Linked DNA regions of Saccharomyces cerevisiae S288C. Changing the gene in region 4 together with the main gene of any one other region gives a genetic interaction. Each region holds a gene or a part of one and is shown on either strand. Other genes may lie near its edges. The genes, in order: POL3, DCC1, CSM3 and DDC1.

Region 1 (5,531 bases), on a different chromosome or scaffold from region 4:
TCAATTTGCTGGAAACTTCGACTAGTACCCCATCTTTTACAATAGCGCCTGCATCTTCCAACCACGAGGTTCCTAGTTTCAAATATGCTAGTCTGCTGGTCTCAGGATTATCGTTCTTAGAACCAGGACCGTTTTTTAAAGGTGAAAATTCTTTGCATCTATCTACTTCTAAGCACCCAAACTTGTTCAGTGGTACAGTGTCAAAGACATCAAATATGAATTGCTCTAATTTTATACCGTTTGGTTCGGTAGGCTTAGTGTACTTGCCGGTAACACTATCATAAGCTGGAATTTTCTTCTTCGCAATGTGATATGGCATATTCTCACACCACTGATCCAAATCACGTTTTAGTAAATCCACTAGGTAATAATGATTTACAATGTTGCCTGCGCGTAGTTTTAATAAGCCATCTTTATCCTTTGCTTCAGCCAATTCATTGGAAATTTCAGAATATTCTATGACACATGGTTTCTCGTTTTTAGTAGCAATTAACCCAACTGATTCATGCGCATCTCTCTTTCTAACGGCTTTGGTGGCCAGTTCGAAGCCATGCTTGATGGCAAAACCAATAAATACAGGGTCTGCGATTTTAGATAGGACATTATCGACACAGTACATGTAAACATGCTTGATTCCTCTCCTATCAAAGTCTTCGTTCAACTTGTTTTCCTTGATGGCACGGTAGAGTCCACCATTTCCATCTGGTGATTGAGATAGGTTTACTGGGTCTTTCATTAGGAAATGCTTCCCGGTTAAATCAAAGGCAGGCAGGGTTCCCTGGTTGAAGAACGTAATTTGTTCTTTATTCAAGCCAAAATAATTGTGTTCTTGAAAGTATGCCTCAGTAGCCGCTCTAGTGGGGCCTGATGTCATAATATACCAAGGAATTTCTACCTTTTTGTCCTTTACCATATCTTGCAACCTGATCAACTTTTCAGCTTGAATTTGAAAAAGAGATTTCTTAGAAGGCAATCCAATGTCGTAACAGCCCTTTGGTTGAGAGGATCCTAACCGCGTACCTTGTCCGCCAGCCATTAAAATCACTGCGACTTCACCCTTGCCAATAGCTTCAAGGCCTAAACGCCAGTATTCATTTTCTTTCTTACTGTTGCCAATAAGCGACTCGTACGAAGTAGGGGGCAATGGTGAAATTTCGACGCCAGTATCCTTAGAAGAGTTAGCTAGTGAGAATTTAATAGCATTTTGACAGTCTTCCAGTAGTTTTGCAGGGGACCTCTTGGAAGATATTTGCTCCAGGTTTGAAAGCAATTCTTCTTGGTCTTTGCGAGACAAGCTTTCCCAATTGTGGAAAAGTTGACTTTGTCCGGCTTCAATGAATAGCTGTTTTGTGTCAGTCATAGTTGCAGTTCGATCTGGTGTTCTCCTTTATATCTGCGTTTCTTTGCAGCGTTCTTGCTTGACGGTTGATCTTGGTTTTGTGTGGTAAAAGTATGCCTTAACGTAATAGGCAATTTTTCGTATTACGCGTAACTTTTTATTCTATAAAATGTTCAATGAGGACATCTGCTATTCGCTTATGAAGAACAAACACTCAGTACTACTGATCTAAGGCAATTTTCAAGGATAAAGGAAAATAGATATTGAGCACTTGCTATTAAGCATTAATCTTTATACATATACGCACAGCAATGAGTGAAAAAAGATCCCTTCCCATGGTTGATGTGAAGATCGATGACGAGGATACTCCCCAGTTGGAAAAGAAAATCAAACGGCAATCAATAGATCATGGTGTTGGAAGTGAACCTGTTTCAACAATAGAGATTATTCCGAGTGATTCTTTTCGAAAATATAATAGTCAAGGCTTCAAAGCAAAGGATACAGATTTAATGGGTACGCAATTAGAGTCTACTTTTGAACAAGAGCTATCGCAAATGGAACATGATATGGCCGACCAAGAAGAGCATGACCTGTCATCATTCGAGCGTAAGAAACTTCCAACCGATTTTGACCCAAGTTTGTATGATATTTCTTTCCAACAAATTGATGCGGAACAGAGCGTACTGAATGGTATCAAAGATGAAAATACATCTACCGTGGTAAGGTTTTTTGGTGTCACTAGTGAAGGACACTCTGTACTTTGTAATGTTACAGGGTTCAAGAACTATCTTTACGTCCCAGCGCCCAATTCTTCCGACGCTAACGATCAGGAGCAAATCAACAAGTTTGTGCACTATTTAAACGAAACATTTGACCACGCTATTGATTCGATTGAAGTTGTATCTAAACAGTCTATCTGGGGTTATTCCGGAGATACCAAATTACCATTCTGGAAAATATACGTCACCTATCCGCATATGGTCAACAAACTGCGTACTGCGTTTGAAAGAGGTCATCTTTCATTCAACTCGTGGTTTTCTAACGGCACGACTACTTATGATAACATTGCCTACACTTTAAGGTTAATGGTAGATTGTGGAATTGTCGGTATGTCCTGGATAACATTACCAAAAGGAAAGTATTCGATGATTGAGCCTAATAACAGAGTTTCCTCTTGTCAGTTGGAAGTTTCAATTAATTATCGTAACCTAATAGCACATCCTGCTGAGGGTGATTGGTCTCATACAGCTCCATTGCGTATCATGTCCTTTGATATCGAGTGTGCTGGTAGGATTGGCGTCTTTCCGGAACCTGAATACGATCCCGTCATCCAAATTGCCAACGTTGTGAGTATTGCTGGCGCTAAGAAACCATTCATTCGTAATGTGTTTACTCTGAATACATGCTCACCCATAACAGGTTCAATGATTTTTTCCCACGCCACTGAAGAGGAAATGTTGAGCAATTGGCGTAACTTTATCATCAAAGTTGATCCTGATGTTATCATTGGTTATAATACTACAAATTTTGATATCCCTTATCTTTTAAACCGTGCAAAGGCGCTAAAGGTGAATGATTTCCCATATTTTGGAAGGTTAAAAACCGTTAAGCAAGAAATTAAAGAGTCTGTGTTCTCTTCGAAGGCTTATGGTACAAGAGAAACCAAAAATGTCAATATTGACGGCCGATTACAGTTGGATCTTTTGCAATTTATTCAGCGTGAGTATAAACTAAGATCCTACACGTTGAATGCAGTCTCTGCGCACTTTTTAGGTGAACAGAAGGAGGATGTACATTATAGCATCATTTCTGATCTACAAAATGGCGATAGTGAAACAAGAAGAAGGTTGGCCGTTTACTGTTTGAAAGACGCCTACCTGCCTTTAAGGCTTATGGAAAAACTAATGGCGTTAGTTAACTATACAGAAATGGCTCGTGTTACAGGTGTGCCATTTTCATATTTACTAGCTCGTGGTCAACAAATTAAAGTTGTTTCTCAACTATTTCGAAAGTGCCTGGAGATTGATACTGTGATACCTAACATGCAATCTCAGGCCTCTGATGACCAATATGAGGGTGCCACTGTTATTGAGCCTATTCGTGGTTATTACGATGTACCGATTGCAACTTTGGATTTCAATTCTTTATATCCAAGTATTATGATGGCGCACAACCTATGTTATACAACACTTTGTAACAAAGCTACTGTAGAGAGATTGAATCTTAAAATTGACGAAGACTACGTCATAACACCTAATGGAGATTATTTTGTTACCACAAAAAGAAGGCGTGGTATATTACCAATTATTCTGGATGAATTAATAAGTGCTAGAAAACGCGCTAAAAAAGATCTGAGAGATGAGAAGGATCCATTCAAAAGAGATGTTTTAAATGGTAGACAATTGGCTTTGAAGATTTCAGCTAACTCTGTCTATGGTTTTACAGGAGCGACGGTGGGTAAATTGCCATGTTTAGCCATTTCTTCATCTGTTACTGCTTATGGTCGTACCATGATTTTAAAAACTAAAACCGCAGTCCAAGAAAAATATTGTATAAAGAATGGTTATAAGCACGATGCCGTTGTGGTTTACGGTGACACTGATTCCGTTATGGTAAAGTTTGGTACAACAGATTTAAAGGAAGCTATGGATCTTGGTACCGAAGCTGCCAAATATGTCTCCACTCTATTCAAACATCCGATTAACTTAGAATTTGAAAAAGCATACTTCCCTTACCTTTTGATAAATAAAAAGCGTTATGCAGGTTTATTCTGGACTAATCCTGACAAGTTTGACAAGTTGGACCAAAAAGGCCTTGCTTCTGTCCGTCGTGATTCCTGTTCCTTGGTTTCTATTGTTATGAATAAAGTTTTAAAGAAAATTTTAATTGAAAGAAATGTAGATGGTGCTTTAGCTTTTGTCAGAGAAACTATCAATGATATTCTGCATAATAGAGTAGATATTTCAAAGTTGATTATATCAAAGACGTTAGCCCCAAATTACACAAATCCACAGCCGCACGCCGTTTTGGCTGAACGTATGAAGAGGAGAGAGGGCGTTGGTCCAAATGTTGGTGATCGTGTGGACTATGTCATTATCGGTGGTAATGATAAACTTTACAATAGAGCAGAAGATCCATTATTTGTACTAGAAAACAATATTCAAGTGGATTCGCGCTATTATTTAACTAATCAATTACAAAATCCAATCATTAGTATTGTTGCACCTATTATTGGCGACAAACAGGCGAACGGTATGTTCGTTGTGAAATCCATTAAAATTAACACAGGCTCTCAAAAAGGAGGCTTGATGAGCTTTATTAAAAAAGTTGAGGCTTGTAAAAGTTGTAAAGGTCCGTTGAGGAAAGGTGAAGGCCCTCTTTGTTCAAACTGTCTAGCAAGGTCTGGAGAATTATACATAAAGGCATTATACGATGTCAGAGATTTAGAGGAAAAATACTCAAGATTATGGACACAATGCCAAAGGTGCGCTGGTAACTTACATAGTGAAGTTTTGTGTTCAAATAAGAACTGTGACATTTTTTATATGCGGGTTAAGGTTAAAAAAGAGCTGCAGGAGAAAGTAGAACAATTAAGCAAATGGTAAAAAACGATAGGGTGGCACATCATATTAGGATTAAGAAAGGCTAACAACTTTTTGCATGTTGGTGGATATATATGTATATATAAATAGATACTTGGAAAAATCCAGATTCAAACAATGTTTTTGAAATAATGCTTCTCATGTTTAGAGGCAAGATAATTCTGAGTATGTTTTGGGTATTTTATTGTCAGTAATTTGTAAACGCTGCAATTCTAATGAGACCGAGCTTTGTTGCTGTATGTCATTGAACCAAGGGTGGTTCAAAGCTTCATCTATATTGTACCTTTCATCAGGATTTAGGACCAAAAGATTGGATATTAAATGTAGTACTGAGTCATCGATTTTATCCCAGTACGGAGAGTAAAACGCATACTTAGCTTGTAAGATCTGTTCCTTCAATGAAGGTGGCCCCAATTGATCACTGAATGGAGGAAAACCACATAAACAGACATATAATATGACACCAGCACTCCAAAGATCTACTTTTGATGTGTATCCTTTCTTTGTGAGGACTTCGGGCGCTACATAAGAAGGCGTACCACAAAGTGTGTTTGTGAATTGCATTTCTCCTGTAAATTTTGCTAGGCCAA
Region 2 (3,272 bases), on a different chromosome or scaffold from region 4:
CGTGTCTTGTATATGCTTTGTAGAAATAAGGAATAGTAATGCTGCATGCCTTCAGTACTTCGAGGGAACCGTAAGGGATTGCTGTCTTTAGCGAGTCTAGAAAAATACAATTGATTCTTGTGACTTCATCTATTGTAGGTGGGAAGAGTCGATTTAATTTGGTTGTGGATAACCCATTAATTTCTTCATTGAGTACTCTGACTCTCAAGGCGATCAGGAATTTTTGCAAAAATTCTACCAAATTGAAAGTAAAATTTGTTTGTAGTTGTAATAACTCGTTGCAAATGGCCTTGACAAGATCATCATCCGATTCTGTGGGTAATTCGTCCTCTGGCGCCTTATAACCATATTCTGTCTGTTCCGGTGAGTATTCTGTGACTGGGTTAAAAAGTTGTTCAAGTTGTTCACCCAGATGGAATACCAACCTATTATTTAGTTCGATGGTGGATTCATTGTTTTCATAAATAACATCTAACAGGGTAGAGCTGACAAATCTATTTTGCAGAAGTCCTGATGTAAAGAAGCGCTTCCCCAGATCTTCTGGAGGAACTGCTGTTATCAACTGGCAACTACTAGCCAAATCTCCAGCATAAGGGGGGTCATAGTCGCAATTTTCCGATTTATTGGACAATATTTGTGATAAGTCTGATGGTGAAAGTAATGGATAGCGCTGTAACAGAATGACAGCAATGCATTTCTTAACATTGCTTTCCTGATCACTTGGACTCAAATTCTCAATGGCCGGATAGTATTGCGAGTTGGAAGATATATCGACGGATTCGAAGCATGATGTTCCTAATTTGTCGAATATTATAGCGTTCAACTTATTGCTGTTGGGGGACTTGTACACGCAGACAAAGAACTTCCCCCATATCAAGTCATCTGACCCGTGATAGAATACTGATTGAGTGAACACATTATCCGTCCAGTCTGAAAGTGATTTATCATCATCAAACAATGAATGACCATTTAGCGGTGTGGTCTCGACAACAGATTTGGATAGTTTGATGTTAAATAAGGTTTCATCGTTCTCTTTGTCTTTCTTTTCAGAGTAAAGAGACGACAGGTCTTTCTCCATTGGTGAGGTGTAAATATACTCTTTTAGCAACCAGATAACAGCCCGAACACGTAATGAGTAGCAGGTAGCAGCAGTAGAATGCGAGTACAGACAAACTAGTGTTGTTTTTACTATCCGCAGTGAGAGAAATCTTCCTCATTGAAGATCAAAGCCTTTGTTTACCATTGTTTTTATTTACCTTTTTAGAATTGTTCGAACAAAACCCTAGGTCTTGGCAACTGGCAATCGCTCAACATGACCTAATTTATAGCTTAGGGTTCTTTTTTGTCAATTCTATGCGTATGACAAAGAGCACCACGATGGTGATCGAAATCTCTAGGAGTAGCATACCACAGCGATATTATTTAGTAGTAGGCGGTTTATTATCTTTGTCCCTTTATACTGTTGTGTTTCTTGCTTATTGCTTCAGTAGGCAGCGTATAGTATAACCAGAAAAAAGTGAAAAATAAACTAAAAAAGCACTATGAGATGAACGGTAAAAATCCACCAGAGATTTGCTCACTAATAATCCTGTACCATGTCCATCAACCTACATTCCGCACCCGAGTATGATCCATCTTATAAGCTGATCCAGTTGACACCAGAGTTACTGGATATAATACAGGATCCGGTTCAAAATCACCAGTTAAGGTTTAAGTCATTGGACAAAGACAAGTCTGAAGTTGTACTGTGTTCGCACGACAAGACTTGGGTGCTGAAGCAGCGCAAACATTCAAACACAGTTCTACTAATGAGAGAATTTGTTCCTGAACAACCTATTACTTTCGACGAAACGCTCTTGTTTGGACTGTCCAAGCCGTACATGGACGTCGTGGGATTCGCCAAGACTGAATCAGAATTTGAGACCAGAGAGACACATGGCGAATTGAACTTGAATTCAGTACCAATATACAACGGAGAACTGGATTTCTCCGACAAAATCATGAAGAGGTCATCTACAAAGGTTATCGGGACCCTGGAAGAACTACTTGAGAACTCACCATGTTCTGCGCTAGAAGGTATATCAAAATGGCATAAGATTGGTGGATCTGTGAAAGACGGTGTGTTGTGTATTCTTTCACAAGACTTCCTTTTCAAAGCACTGCATGTACTACTGATGAGCGCAATGGCAGAATCACTCGATCTACAGCATCTGAATGTTGAGGATACACATCACGCTGTGGGGAAGGACATTGAGGACGAGTTCAATCCATACACAAGAGAAATCATTGAAACAGTGCTGAATAAATTTGCTGTTCAAGAGCAAGAGGCTGAAAACAATACGTGGCGCTTGAGAATACCGTTTATAGCTCAGTGGTACGGGATTCAAGCGCTAAGGAAATATGTTTCTGGAATAAGCATGCCAATTGATGAGTTCCTCATCAAGTGGAAGTCCCTTTTCCCACCTTTCTTCCCATGTGACATTGACATTGACATGCTGCGAGGCTATCATTTCAAGCCTACCGATAAGACTGTCCAGTATATAGCGAAAAGCACACTACCAATGGACCCCAAAGAACGGTTTAAAGTCCTGTTTAGGCTACAGTCACAGTGGGACTTGGAGGATATCAAGCCTCTAATTGAAGAACTAAATTCAAGAGGTATGAAAATAGACAGTTTCATCATGAAGTATGCCCGCCGTAAAAGACTGGGCAAAAAGACCGTGGTCACGAGCAGGTAGCACACAAAACTGCCTTCGATGGGCAATGCGAATATATAGCGGAACCACTAAAGTAATAGTGGATGACGTGAATAGCAACAAATATCTATCATAGTAGCTTTATATATTTATATATATTACAATACTATTATGCACCCTATTACCCGCAATAGTTGATAGTGACCTACCAATTTTAGATACGGTCGCTGACAAATAGTAAGGCCATCGCCCAGGGATATATGATGACTATCTAAGTAACTCACTCAGAGTAAAGACCGACAGAGTTCATTAGTGTGTTATATTTTCTATTTCAGATACATCATTTTCATTAAAATATATCGCATACACGAAGGAACTGCTACAACTGGAAGATGTTGAAATCAACTGCTACAAGATCGATAACAAGATTATCTCAAGTTTACAACGTTCCAGCGGCCACATATAGGGCTTGTTTGGTAAGCAGGAGATTCTATTCCCCTCCTGCAGCAGGCGTGAAGTTAGACGACAACTTCTCTCTGGAAACGCATACCGATATTCAGGCTGCTGCAAAGGCAC
Region 3 (3,245 bases), on a different chromosome or scaffold from region 4:
TAATTGCGTCATCGTTTGACAAGAGAGTTTTATGGCACGACCTGGATTTGGCTAGCACACCTTACAAGACACTAAGATATCATGAAAAAGCCGTCAGAAGTGTGAATTTCCACAAAAAGTTACCTCTATTCAGCTCTGCCGCTGATGACGGTACCATACATGTTTTCCATGCCACTGTTTATGATGACATGATGAAAAATCCGATGATTGTGCCACTAAAGAAACTAACCGGTCATAAAGTAATCAATAGTCTGGGTGTTCTTGATGCTATTTGGCATCCGAGGGAAGCTTGGCTGTTTTCTGCCGGTGCTGATAATACGGCTCGCTTATGGACCACCTAGATAAATAATTTGAAGTAGATATTGTATAATAACGCCCAAGAAGAAAAAATCAAACACTCGAACCAGGCTCTTTCTACAAGCTTTATTTACACAATATATATAAACCTATATGTATAGATGCCCACACGCACGTTTGGATTATTACCTTCAATGACATTGCTAAAAGCCCATTTCCTTCATAGCATCCAACTCATCTTGATCTACGCCAAACTCATCTCCCCCTGGCAATAAATCATAATGAGTATGTTGTCCCTCTATATCATTCATTTCCCACTCTTCCAAACTTTGAATCAGTTGAACGTCTTCTTCAGTCATAGAGCCTTTTTCCATTTTTCTATGCGCATCTAGCCATCCTAATAAGAGCTTCTTCTCATTTTCTTCAAGGCCAACGGGCCCTTGTACCCTGAATGTCTTCAATAATGCATCCAAATCTTCCTTAGGCGGCACAACGTTGTTAAGTACCGTTTCATTATTCCCACGTTCGTCCAAAACTCGTCCTCTTCTGTTGCGATAAGAAAGGTGATAGATATCGTCATCTTCGTCATTATCGTAATCGACATTGTTTACATTCCTTTTGTCTTGCGCAAAACTATCTGCGACAATAGGCCTCTCTTCCGCGGAAGTGACATGTTCTTCAACCATAGGTGATTGTCTTTCCAGGTCTTGCCCAGTCTCCCGTGTGCCAACATCGAAACTCATGCCCATCTCGTCCCTAAAAAGGCTGACTCTATATTCTCTAAGAACTGGATCTGTTTTACCTACTGTTTGACAGATCTTCATAAAATCCTTAAATTTTGCCTTGGGAAACAATTCATGTGCCCAAAGCTGGTAAAACTGAATAATATTTGATAAGTTGTCATATGAGTTTTTTTTTGAGGAAATTCGTATCCTTTTATGTGCATTTTTCAAAACATATGGTAAACCTTTATCACTGAGTAGTTTTTCGGCTGTTAATTTTACTTGAGGCCTTCTCTTTCTAGCTGTAATTGCGGTTGGATCCGCAATGGTAGGATCAACTACTGAACCATCCAAGCCATTTGGTACAGTTGGGTCTTTTTGGACACTATCGGAGTCATTGAAACCTAGTAATAAACTGTCAAAATCTTGATCCATGACCTCAATAAAAGTTTCTGTTCACGTTTTCATGGCATTTTAATCCAGTATATCATTGATCTTGTTACGCGTCAGTTTATTATTGTCACTTTTGCAGATTATCATTACCCGGCATTTTTCCTTACCATGCTCATTAGAAAAAGAACAAAACTAAATTATACTTAGAGTTAATAAAGTGTCATAAGGTCGCAAAGGAAACTATCAGCATTGCATAGAGATCCCGGCAACTGAGAGGCACCATTCAGCTTCGAAGATTTCTTTTTTAAAACATTATTATGTTTGGAGTTAGCCGTGGCGCATTCCCCAGCGCAACAACACAGCCATTTGGCTCAACAGGATCAACCTTTGGTGGCCAACAGCAACAACAACAACCAGTAGCAAACACTTCTGCTTTCGGCCTCAGTCAGCAAACAAATACAACACAAGCACCTGCGTTTGGTAACTTTGGTAACCAAACTTCTAATTCTCCCTTCGGAATGTCAGGCTCGACTACAGCAAATGGTACTCCTTTTGGTCAAAGTCAATTGACGAACAACAATGCCTCTGGCTCGATCTTCGGTGGAATGGGTAATAACACAGCACTTTCTGCTGGTTCCGCTTCTGTTGTGCCCAATTCTACTGCAGGTACAAGCATTAAACCTTTTACTACATTCGAAGAGAAGGATCCAACCACAGGTGTCATCAACGTCTTCCAAAGTATCACCTGTATGCCTGAATACAGAAATTTTTCTTTTGAAGAATTGAGATTTCAAGATTACCAAGCTGGTAGAAAATTCGGTACCAGTCAAAATGGCACTGGTACTACTTTTAACAATCCTCAAGGAACTACCAATACTGGATTTGGAATTATGGGTAATAATAACTCCACTACTTCTGCTACAACAGGAGGATTATTTGGTCAAAAGCCAGCAACAGGCATGTTTGGAACCGGAACTGGAAGTGGTGGTGGCTTTGGCTCTGGAGCGACCAACTCTACAGGATTGTTTGGAAGCTCTACTAACCTCTCAGGAAATTCTGCATTTGGAGCAAATAAACCTGCCACTTCCGGGGGATTGTTTGGTAATACAACTAACAACCCAACAAACGGCACTAATAATACAGGCCTTTTCGGCCAGCAGAACTCAAATACAAACGGAGGATTATTTGGTCAACAGCAAAATTCATTTGGGGCGAATAATGTCAGTAACGGGGGAGCCTTTGGTCAGGTGAATCGTGGTGCCTTTCCCCAACAACAAACACAACAAGGTAGTGGTGGTATATTTGGTCAATCAAACGCTAACGCAAATGGTGGCGCTTTCGGCCAACAGCAAGGCACTGGTGCTCTTTTTGGAGCTAAACCTGCTTCTGGTGGACTATTTGGACAATCTGCTGGTTCAAAAGCATTCGGAATGAATACCAACCCCACTGGTACCACTGGTGGCTTATTTGGGCAAACCAATCAGCAGCAAAGTGGAGGAGGGTTATTTGGCCAGCAACAAAATTCCAACGCTGGAGGATTGTTCGGTCAGAATAACCAAAGCCAGAACCAATCCGGATTATTTGGACAACAAAACTCCTCAAACGCATTTGGCCAGCCACAGCAACAAGGCGGATTATTTGGAAGCAAACCTGCAGGAGGACTGTTTGGACAACAGCAGGGAGCATCCACTTTTGCGTCTGGTAATGCCCAAAATAATTCTATATTTGGGCAAAATAACCAACAACAGCAATCAACCGGGGGATTATTCGGACAACAAAACAACCAGTCGCAGTCCCAACCTGGTGGATTGTTTGGCCAGACCAATCAAAATA
Region 4 (4,219 bases):
TTCCCATAATAATTCCAGAAAATTACAAGATAAAAATGGTGAACGTCATTATATCGATTTGTTCAGCTGACAACTATTCCAGTGTTAACGACTTTGAATGGTACAATGCAGTAATAATGGACTTGGCGATGCTCTGTCAAGACATATCTGATAAAAGCCTTGGATCAAAAATTGGTGAACAGTTTAGGAATTTGATGATAAAAGTTCCTTCAATGAGAGAAGTAACCATTGCTAATATTATAAAGCTTATTTCAAATGACAATATTAACAAACAGTTGCCTACCGTATTGAGAGAATGCATTTGGTGTCTCGGAGAATTTTCTACCCTAGTTGAAAATGGTAACGACTTAATAAAAATCATGACTGAGAATATCAGTTATTATTCTCATAGTGTACAAGAAGTTTTAATTTTAGCACTTGTTAAAGTATTTAGTAATTGGTGTAATAACTTTCAGGAGGATAAACGCTTTGAAATTAAAATGGTGTTAAAAGAGCTAATTGAATTTTTTGAAAATTTATCTTATTCGAGTACATTCGAAGTCCAGGAAAGAAGCGTAGAAGTTTTAGAATTTTTAAGACTAAGTTTGGAGGCTTTAGAGGAGGATACGGAAGGTCTACCAATGCTACTGAGCGAAGTCCTGCCTAGTTTTTTTAACGCCTATGAACTCGCACCAATTGCGCGTGGGACTCAATTGAAGTTAGCAGTAGATGAGAATCTTGATCTAGAAACTCCATTTTTGACAAAGGAGGCAGCTGATGAACTCTTAGATGAACAAAAAAGTGACGCCATCAGTGATTTAATGTCTGATATCTCAATGGACGAGCAAGTTGAACTAAAATTCGTTGATGATTCTGATACTTCGTATGAAGAAAAGGAAAAATTGGATGATTTTGAAAATCCATTTGAGATTGAGAGAGAAAAGGAACGGATGTCAAATCCTTATTATCTAGGTGAAGAAGACGAAGAAAGAACTAAGAACTCTAAAGATTTGTTGGACTTGAATGAGGAGGAAAGTAGTGATAAAAAGCCAGAAACTATTAGATTAAATAGAACCGATAATTCGTTGAATTCTCTAAGTTTATCTACAACTGAAATCAGCAGAAAGAAGAAGAAGGGAAAGAAGAAAAATAGGGTTCAAGTCTTATCCGATGAACCTGTTATCGAAGCCGCTCCCAAAAGGAAAGATGCATTCCAGAAACCCCATGATAATCATTCAACTCAAAATCCTTTGAAAAAGGACAAGATTAATCTGAGAATGCACTCTCAACTTGAAAATTTTGATTTTTCCAATTTTGGGCAATCGAGTAACGCAGGAAGAGGATCGCAGGAAGAGGGCAACCTTAGAAAGGAAGACGAGTTAGAATTAAGTCGTTTAGAGGCCAATCTTATTGTAAAAGATGAAAAGGATAATTTAAGTGATACTGAAGAAGTTATAGTTATAAAAAAGAAGAAGAAAGGGAAAAAGTCAAAGTCAAAAAACAAACTAAAAACGAAAGCAAAAAATTCTCCAGAACCAAATGAATTTCTTCGAGACCAAAGCACTGACATTTAACGATAAAAAAATCGAAGTCGTGAATTCTCAATGACAGCGATTACGTACGTAAACTATAATTAATTTAAGTATTTTATTCTGCATAGTATATTATTGCGGTGCACTCAATTTGCCGAAAGAGACGGCATATTTAATAATGACGCGAATGAATCAAAGGCCGCCAAAGGTAATCATAGACCAGAGATGATTTGCAAAATTATTTGACATACTATTGCTAGTGTAACAATAACACAGCATAACTTTGCTTAGACATATATGTCATTTAAGGCAACTATCACCGAGTCGGGGAAGCAGAATATCTGGTTTCGTGCGATATATGTGTTATCTACAATTCAGGATGATATCAAGATTACAGTGACAACAAATGAGTTAATTGCTTGGTCAATGAACGAGACAGATACTACTCTTTGTCAGGTTAGGTTTCAGAAAAGCTTTTTTGAGGAGTATGAGTTTAAACCACATGAGATTGTATTTGGAGAAAATGGGGTTCAAGTTATAGAAGATACGTACGGCAATAGTCATAAGTTATACTCCTTCCGTGTTAATGGAAGACACCTAACAACTATATCAAGAAAGCCGGATGGTGATGGCATCAAATCATTCACAATTGCGGTAAACAACACTTCTACCTGTCCTGAATCACTTGCAAATAGATTGATTGTGGTGATTGAAATGGATTCGTTAATAGTCAAAGAATACTGTCCCCAATTCCAGCCAATAAAATACGATCCCATAATAATCAACCTTAAGTACAAAAGGAGGTTTTTGGATGTTTTTGGAACTGCTGCCTCCGATCGGAATCCACAGGAGCCCTTGGACCCTAAGCTATTGGACGTTTTTACAAATACAGAGCGTGAGCTAACATCAGCCTTATTTAACGAAGAAGTGGAATCAGACATACGTAAAAGGAATCAGTTAACGGCTGCTGATGAGATTAATTACATTTGTTGTAATTCAACTTTATTGAAGAATTTTTTAGACAACTGCAATGTTAATGTAACCGATGAAGTAAAATTGGAAATTAACGTACATAGGCTAAGCATAACTGCATTCACCAAGGCCGTCTACGGCAAAAATAACGACCTTTTAAGAAATGCGTTAAGCATGAGTAACACTATCAGTACGCTCGATCTTGAGCATTATTGCTTATTTACAACAATCGAAGATGAAAAACAAGATAAGCGATCACATAGTAAGCGTAGAGAGCATATGAAAAGTATAATATTCAAATTGAAGGACTTCAAAAACTTCATAACGATAGGTCCATCCTGGAAGACTACCCAGGACGGAAATGATAATATAAGTTTATGGTTTTGCCACCCAGGGGACCCTATTCTTATGCAAATGCAAAAACCGGGCGTAAAATTAGAATTGGTTGAAGTTACTGACAGTAACATTAACGATGATATTTTAGAAGGAAAATTCATAAAAACAGCAATCTCTGGCTCCAAAGAAGAGGCCGGACTGAAAGACAACAAAGAAAGCTGCGAAAGTCCATTAAAAAGCAAAACTGCTTTAAAGAGAGAAAACCTGCCACACTCTGTGGCTGGAACTCGAAACAGTCCTTTGAAAGTGTCGTATCTGACCCCTGATAATGGAAGCACAGTTGCTAAGACCTATAGAAATAACACGGCAAGAAAATTATTCGTGGAAGAACAAAGCCAAAGTACGAATTACGAACAAGATAAGCGGTTCCGGCAGGCTAGTTCAGTTCATATGAACATGAATCGGGAACAAAGTTTTGACATTGGTACGACTCATGAAGTGGCCTGTCCACGTAATGAGAGCAATTCTTTAAAAAGATCCATAGCAGATATTTGTAATGAAACTGAAGACCCCACCCAACAATCTACATTTGCAAAAAGGGCAGACACCACTGTGACATGGGGAAAAGCGTTACCAGCTGCAGATGATGAGGTTTCATGCAGCAATATCGATAGAAAAGGAATGCTCAAGAAAGAAAAATTGAAGCATATGCAAGGTCTGTTGAATTCCCAGAATGACACAAGTAATCACAAGAAACAGGACAATAAAGAGATGGAAGATGGGCTGGGTCTAACACAAGTAGAAAAGCCAAGGGGTATATTTGACTAAAACCATAATGCAAAATCAGTATAAAGGCGTGTAAATATTAGATGAAGTAGCAATTATCATGATAATATCGATCGCTGTTTTTTTTTTTTTTTCTGTCTCAATTTGGTGAGCGTGCGGCTGATGGTCCATCACGGTCGGGGAACAAACTAAAATTTTCAATAGCATAATATCTCTATATTGCATAGCTTTTTACTTAATAGGAACTTAAAAATTTCATTGATGCTATTATATTTAACTCATAAGTCAATCTCTTTTTCCATTTTGATTAGCTTATTGCGACATGGACTATGAATTATAATAACTTTGAAAATTCGAAGGGTGATGGACATTCTAGGCTTCCCAAACCTACATACTCCGGAACGCTATCAGATGGCTATGATGAATCGAAAATTAAAAGGCAAAAAACAGACTCTGCTTTTAATGCAGCTTACTCACCTCATATGTATCCGAACTCTCCGTATTATGAAGGTTCATGGAATACCGGTTATACTCCTCAACTTCATCATGTAGCCCCTCATAATCAATATTTCCATCCAATACAACCGTCCACTCAGTACAATTATACGAGTCCT

What was found.
Region 1: mutations in DDC1 (region 4) and POL3 together harm fitness more than expected from each alone (negative genetic interaction), as found in Saccharomyces cerevisiae (5 studies listed by BioGRID, with this or other methods).
Region 2: mutations in DDC1 (region 4) and DCC1 together harm fitness more than expected from each alone (negative genetic interaction), as found in Saccharomyces cerevisiae (5 studies listed by BioGRID, with this or other methods).
Region 3: mutations in DDC1 (region 4) and CSM3 together harm fitness more than expected from each alone (negative genetic interaction), as found in Saccharomyces cerevisiae (7 studies listed by BioGRID, with this or other methods).

What each region holds. Positions count from the first base shown.
Region 1 is NC_001136.10:275,222-280,752, forward strand, and holds POL3 (DNA-directed DNA polymerase delta POL3), read left to right. Parts: upstream 1-1,650; coding exon 1,651-4,944; downstream 4,945-5,531. Other genes in the region: QRI1 (UDP-N-acetylglucosamine diphosphorylase), read right to left, coding at 1-1,360; serine/threonine protein kinase DUN1, read right to left, coding at 5,086-5,531.
Region 2 is NC_001135.5:94,087-97,358, reverse strand, and holds DCC1 (Dcc1p), read left to right. Parts: upstream 1-1,595; coding exon 1,596-2,738; downstream 2,739-3,272. Other genes in the region: BUD3 (Bud3p), read right to left, coding at 1-1,078; NFS1 (cysteine desulfurase), read left to right, coding at 3,089-3,272. UniProt on the Saccharomyces cerevisiae protein: Component of the RFC-like complex CTF18-RFC which is required for efficient establishment of chromosome cohesion during S-phase and may load or unload POL30/PCNA.
Region 3 is NC_001145.3:365,190-368,434, reverse strand, and holds CSM3 (Csm3p), read right to left. Parts: upstream 1,455-3,245; coding exon 501-1,454; downstream 1-500. Other genes in the region: ribosome biogenesis protein ERB1, read left to right, coding at 1-341; FG-nucleoporin NUP116, read left to right, coding at 1,730-3,245. UniProt on the Saccharomyces cerevisiae protein: Forms a fork protection complex (FPC) with TOF1 which is required for chromosome segregation during meiosis and DNA damage repair. FPC coordinates leading and lagging strand synthesis and moves with the replication fork.
Region 4 is NC_001148.4:177,469-181,687, forward strand, and holds DDC1 (Ddc1p), read left to right. Parts: upstream 1-1,808; coding exon 1,809-3,647; downstream 3,648-4,219. Other genes in the region: APL5 (Apl5p), read left to right, coding at 1-1,553; RSA1 (Rsa1p), read left to right, coding at 3,935-4,219. UniProt on the Saccharomyces cerevisiae protein: Component of the checkpoint clamp complex involved in the surveillance mechanism that allows the DNA repair pathways to act to restore the integrity of the DNA prior to DNA synthesis or separation of the replicated chromosomes.